Macaca fascicularis: one gene and its partner. The protein of the gene in region 1 interacts with the protein of each later gene in a pairwise test. Links are inferred from orthologs where the notes say so. Each region holds a gene or a part of one and is shown in the gene's direction. Other genes may lie near its edges.

Region 1 (4,006 bases):
CCATGGGTGCCACTTTGCAGCCCACCCACCCCCCCACAGCCTACCTGGCACCTCCAAGGAGTCTTCTTTGCCTCCTACTGCACACCGACCCCCCATTTCCTCACCCCCACCCTAGGGGCACAGCAAGGAGGGTGCTGGTGCCAGCCCCCCCGCACTCCATCCGAGAGACACGGGCTCCCCCTCCCTCGTCCTCCGTAGGCCCTGAGCTCCAGGGCAAGGCAGAGCTGCGGCCTTCAGCGGGTCCTGCCAGTGCAGCCTCCGGGAGTCTGCCCAGGGGTCCCCTGTGCCGCGGTCTTCAAGGTTCAATTCAAAGAGCACCTCTTCCACGACGCCCTCCCCGACCTCCCTCCCGGGCCCCCTCTCCCCGTGCTCAGAGGCGCGTCTCAGCGTCGGGACGGCCAGCAGCCCAGCAGAGCCGGGACCGGGGAGGGCGCACCCCGACCCCCTTCCTGGGAAGGAGCGGAAAGAACGCGGACAGGAGGCCGGGGCGGGGAGCAGCCGGCGGGGGCCGTAACTGCGCGGCCGAGGCCAGGACGGCGCTCCTAGGGGCTGGGCCGCGTCCAGAATGGGACCCCCGAACTCGGCGCCGAGAGCCCCGGACACCCCGCGAGTAGAGGCGGAGGCGGAGGGACCCACTACCCGGCGGGGCCAAGAGGGGCAGCAGGAAGACCCGCCCCGGTCCGCGCCCGCCCTCTCCCCAAGCCCCCGCGCCGGACCCCACTTGTTGCTGCGTGTCGGCTCTAGGCTCGAACTCGCGCGCCCCGCTCGCGTCCGGCTCCAGCCGCTCCCGGTCGGACACCTCGGGCCGCGAGACCCTGGCCGCACGCCCCCACGACCCCCCGGGCGCTCTACCTGCGCCGCCGCCTCCCGCTCGCTTCGTCCGCTCCCTCCGCGCAGCTGTCAGTCAAGCGGACACGAGAAACGCGAACCGCCACCGCGGCTTTCGGCCCTGCTCAGACGCCGTAGCTCCGGGACGCACCAAGATGGTGGGCGGGGGTGTGTCGTCTGTTGCTGCCGCGGCCGTGCAGGCCCAGGAGCCCCGGGCCGCATGGGGAATCCCCATGGCGGCGGAAATTGCGGCCAGCTGCGCCGGGGCCAGTGTATGAACGGCTGGGGCAGCGGAGAACGAGCGGAGCCGGTCCCCCCGCGATAGTGGACGCGCCCGGGGCGGGGCCTGGGGGGAGTGCTTCCCGTGCGGCCGGACCGGGCCGGGCAGTCTGGGACGCGCCGCCGCCATGATCATTCCTGTACGGTGTTTCACTTGCGGCAAGATCGTCGGCAACAAGTGGGAGGCCTACCTGGGGCTGCTGCAGGCCGAGTACACTGAGGGGTGAGGCGCGGGCTGGGGCCGGGGCTGGGGGCTGAGTCCGCCCTGGGGTGCGGGCCGGGGCGGGAGGCGCAGCGCTGCCTGGGGCCGGCGCTCCATGAGCAGCTTCATACCCGGCCACTCCGGCCCAGCTCTGTGATCTGCTTTCGGGAGAACATTGTCCCCTGAAGTCTGGGGAGAGAGCGGAGTTGGGCTTCAAACCAGTGGTGTCCTGGGGATTCTAGGTGGCCTGGCGGGTGGCAGGCGTCTTGTCACCCGCAGTAAAGCCCTTGGTCTCCGTCCTAATCTCTCGTCTCTGCTCCCAGACCCACCCCATGTCCTGCAAACCTCGCTGCAGGACAGGCGGGCGCGGCGGCTCACGCCTGTAATCCCAGAAGTTTGGGAGGCCGAGGCGAGAGGCTTGCTTGAGCCCAGGAGGTCGAGACCAGCCTGGACAACCTGGGGAGACCCTGATCTCCAGAAATTTTTTCTTTTTTTTTTTTGGGGGGGACGGAGTCTCGCTCTGTCGCCCAGGCTGGAGTGCAGCGGCGCGATCTCGGCTCAGTGCAACCTCTGCTTCCTGGGCTCCAGGAATTCTCCCCAGTCGCCGGGACTACAGGCGTGTCCACGCCCGGCTAATTTTTGTATTTTTAGTAGAGATAGGAGTTCGCCATGTTGGCCAGGCTGGTCTCGAACTCCTGACCTCAGGTGATCCACCTGCCTCGGCCTCCTGGAGTGCTGAGATGACAGGTGTGAGCCACCGCCCCTGGCCCTCTTATCTTTTTAATTCCCCGGACTTGGTGGTGCACACCTGTGGTCCCAGCTACTTGGAAGGCTGAGGCGAGAGAATCGCTTGAGGCTGGGAGGCAGGTGAAGATTTCAGTGAGCCGAGATCACGCCACTGCACTCCAGCCTGGATGAGAGAGTGAAACTCCGTGTCACGCACACACACACACACACACAGAAAAAGAAATGCAGGGCAGACTTGCTGACCACCCTCATCATCGGGCTTTGTGGGGGAGGCATCCTTCTCCTGTGCTTGTCCCTCAGTGCTGCTGTCACCACCGTGCCTGAGTCTTGGTGCCCCTGCTGGAGTCTGACCCTTGCCTGCTGAGTCCTGGTCACATGTGAAACCCCAGGCTCGTGTGTGCCAGCCTGCCATAGGCTCTCAGTGCAGCTTGCTGGACGAATGAGTAAAGCGAGTGGGCTGCCAGAGTGAGTGGCTGGTGGCCTGTCCAGACCCTTTCCCAGGGATATGAACTGCAGGGGCCTCCCATGTGGCCTCCCCTTTCCCAAGCTTCTCTCTCTGCACATTGGAGCCATCAGTGTGGGAGTTTTCTGGAAGTATTGATGGTGACTGGACCTTGGTCCCAGGGAAATTAAAGCTTCTAATTGGCTTGGGAAATGGGAGAGGTGGCTCCCTGGAGAAGCAGTCTCTCCCTGATTGAAGGAAGCAGAGGTGAGAAAAGACGCCACAGTGGCAGAGTAGGGCTTGCTCTGGGGTGGGGGATGAACCAGCTAAGGGCAGGCCCCTGGAGAGCTACCCTGCTGTGGCTGGTGCGGGATGAGGGGAGCTGCGCATCAGGACCTCGGTGGCCTTGGTTTTCTATGCTCCCCCAATTACCTCTAGTTTTCGTTTCATTTATATTTCTTACATATGTTAGACACACATATGTACAGCCAGAGTAGGTGGGAGAGAAGGCTCCTCACGCTCCACCCAGGGATCTGGGCATTGCCAGGTTACTCCAGCCAGGATCATACCGCTAGGTCTCTACTTCTCATCCAGGTGAATGTGTTCGCCTTGCCGGTAGCAGGGGAGTGAGGCCAGCAGGCAGTGAGAGGCGGCCTGGATGTGGGCTCCAGGCCTGTGCAGACCGTGGAGAACTCAGCTGGCCTCTCTGTTCCTCCCCTCGCTTGACACAGGGATGCGCTGGACGCCCTGGGCCTGAAGCGCTACTGCTGCCGCCGGATGCTGCTGGCCCACGTGGACCTGATCGAGAAGCTGCTCAATTATGCACCCCTGGAGAAGTGACCAGGCTGGAATCCGCCTACCTGCCATGCTGACCATGGGCCATGAGCATCCTGCCCCAAGTTCACAAGGCTGAGGCATCCAGGAGCTGGCGCAATGCCTCGCCACAGCGTGTGTGTGTCCCATCCCCCACTCTGGAAGGAACAATCCAGTAAAGGTCTTTCAGAACTACCAAGGTCCCAGCCCTCACTAGGATGTCAGGGGCCAGGACTAGGCCCAGCTTTCACCGCGGCAGCCCAGGGAAGCCGACTGGGCCATGAATTCTCCTAGCCCTGGGGCCAGCCTGTTCCACAGGTACCCCTGCAGGAGGTGCTGCCAGGAGAGCCTTCCATCTCAGGGCTGAGGTTCCCTCCTTCTGGGTGCTCTTCAGACTGAGCAGAGGCTCCTGTACTCTCTCTCTTGGAATCTGAAGAGCCAGATTTAGGCCAGGCACGGTGGCTCACCCCTATAATCCCAGCACTTTGGGAGGCCAAGGCGGGTGGATCACGAGGTCAGGAGATTGAGGCCATGCTGGCTAACACGGTGAAACCCCGTCTCTACTAAACATACAAAACAAAAAAAACAGCCAGGCGAGGTGCCGGGCGCCTGTAGTCCCAGCTACTCGGGAGGCTGAGGCAGGAGAACTGCTTGAACCCGGGAGGGGGAGCTTGCAGTGAGCCGAGATTGCGCCA
Region 2 (2,302 bases), on another chromosome or scaffold:
GGAGCCTGAGACAGGAGGATCACTTGAACTCAGGAGGCTGAGGCTGCCAGTGAGCTATGATCACACCACTGCATTCCAGACTTGGAAATAGTAGGAGATTCTATTTAAAAGAAAAAAAAAAGTTACTATGTTTTGTTTTTAAGATTTTGTTTTTCTTTTTTTTTTTTTTTTTTTTTTAGACAGTCTCACTGTGTTGCTCAGGCTGGAGTAAAATGGCTCACTGCAACCTCCAGCTCCCAAGTTCAAGCGATTCTCCTGCCTCAACCTCCTGAGTAGCTGGGATTACAAGCACACAGCACCATGCCTGGCTAATTTTTTTTTTTTTTTGAGACAGAGTCTCGCGCTGTCGCCCAGGCTGGTGTGCAGTGGCATGATCTCGGCTCACTGCAACCTACACCCCCCGGGTTCAAGTGATTCCCCTGCCTCAGCCTCCGAAGTAGCTGGGACTACAAGCATCCGCCATCATGCCCAGCTAACTTTTGGATTTTCAGTAGAGATGGCATTTCACCACGTTGGCCAGGCTGGTCTTGAACTCCTAACTTCATGTGATCGGCCTGCCTCAGCCTCCCAAAGTGCTGGGATTGCAGGCATGGCCCACCACACATGGCCAATTTCATTCTTTTTAATGGCTGCTTCTCAGTTCCCAGTTTTCCCCGACATCTGCTCTGTAGTCTTTAACCCTGATCCTTGTGCTAGAAGAAGGACAGATGTCTGTCTAGGACCTGATCTCTGCCCTCATGATTTGGTTTCATGTGATTATTATCCATGCACCTTGTGGATGTATATATATTACTACCCTCCCCCTCAACACATCCTTTCGCCTGTCACAGTTGCCTGTGTCCCTGGAGTGTTACACAGTGCCTCCCGAAGACAACCTGGCCCTCCTTCAGCTCTACTTCCGGACCCTGGTTACTGGTGCGCTCCGTCCACATTGGTGCCCCGTGCTCTATGCTGTGGCTGTAGCTCATGTCAATAGCTTCATCTTCTCTCAGGACCCACAGAGCTCAGTAAGTTACATCTCCATCTTCAGAGGAAGGAAGAGAGCTGCCTCTGGGCCAGCTGGGGGAGAAGTGCTTGGTACCAGCCCTCGGCTCAGTGCCACCTCTCCCTGTTCTGCTTCTAGGATGAGGTAAAAGCTGCCCGCAGGAGTATGCTGCAGAAAACGTGGCTGCTGGCAGATGAGGTAGGGTCAGGGCCATTAGGAGGGTGGGATATTAGAGGATCTTGGGGGACAGAGACCACAACAGGATCTCATTACCTACTTCATAAGGTTTCTTTCCTCTCTGCAGGGTCTCCGGCAGCACCTCCTCCACTATAAGCTTCCCAATTCCACACTCCCAGAGGGCTTTGAGCTCTATTCTCAGTTGCCCCCTCTGCGTCAGCACTACCTCCAGAGACTGACTTCAACGGTGCTCCCAAATGGGGTATCAGAGACCTAGGATAGTTGCTATAGATGGAAAGATGGGTACATTGTCCTGTATCCAGCCTTTCAACAGATGCCTGGCCAGACAAAGGACATTGTGTCCTAATGGCAGGCAGAAGACCAAGGAGCAGAAAGCTTGCCTTCCTGGGAGCAGGTGGTTTGAGCTGTTTTGGAGCAGAATGAGCCCTACCATTACATCCTGATACCTGGAGCTTCGAAGGTCTGTGCTGGGAGTGAAGAGCAGCTTAGCTATTTACCCCCTCTTTGGGGACAGGGCAAACTAAATGCATCCCTTCTTACCTAACTCCCAACCCCTGCCCCGGGCTAAGGTATATGAATGCTATAGTTGTACATTAAAATGTTTTTTATCTCCCGGAAATCTGATTTGGACTGATTTCAGCCATGTTAGTTCAGGGTTAGTATGTGGGGGTGGGTTATCCCAGGTGAGGAGCAGGACTGCTGTGAGAGAGATGGGGAAGAATCATAAGTGGGAGGTAAAAACTTTGTCCACATCTGGAGACAGCAAGAATATGGGACCTGCCAGGCACAGTAGTGAACACCTGTAGTCCCAACTACTTGGGAGGCTGAGGCAGGATGATCACTTGATTCCAGGAATTCAATTCCAGCCTGGCCAACATAGTGAGATGCCATGTCTGTCTGTCTGTCTATCTGTCTGTCTATTTATTTCTGAGACAGGGTCTTACTCTGTCACCCAGGCTGGAGTGCAGTGGCATGATCATAGCTCACTGCAGCCTCGACCTCCTGGGCTCAAGCCATTCTCCCACCTCTGCCTCCTGAGTGGCTGGGACCACAGGCAAGTACCACCATGCCTGGCTAATTTTTTGTATTTGTAGAGACAGGGTTTCACCATGTTGCCCA

What was found. The genes of interacting proteins can lie anywhere in the genome.
Region 2: the proteins of POLR2L (region 1) and RPAP1 interact in binary tests that used the Homo sapiens proteins (3 or more experiments, as listed by UniProt). The link is inferred for Macaca fascicularis from reciprocal best matches to the Homo sapiens genes POLR2L and RPAP1.

The regions. Positions count from the first base shown.
Region 1 is NC_088388.1:742,499-746,504, reverse strand, and holds POLR2L (DNA-directed RNA polymerases I, II, and III subunit RPABC5), read left to right. Parts: upstream 1-1,214; 5' UTR 1,215-1,235; coding exon 1,236-1,330; intron 1,331-3,229; coding exon 3,230-3,338; 3' UTR 3,339-3,506; downstream 3,507-4,006. UniProt on the Homo sapiens protein: DNA-dependent RNA polymerase catalyzes the transcription of DNA into RNA using the four ribonucleoside triphosphates as substrates.
Region 2 is NC_088381.1:18,078,873-18,081,174, reverse strand, and holds the end of RPAP1 (RNA polymerase II-associated protein 1), read left to right. Parts: intron 1-830; coding exon 831-1,007; intron 1,008-1,123; coding exon 1,124-1,183; intron 1,184-1,289; coding exon 1,290-1,439; 3' UTR 1,440-1,802; downstream 1,803-2,302. UniProt on the Homo sapiens protein: Forms an interface between the RNA polymerase II enzyme and chaperone/scaffolding protein, suggesting that it is required to connect RNA polymerase II to regulators of protein complex formation.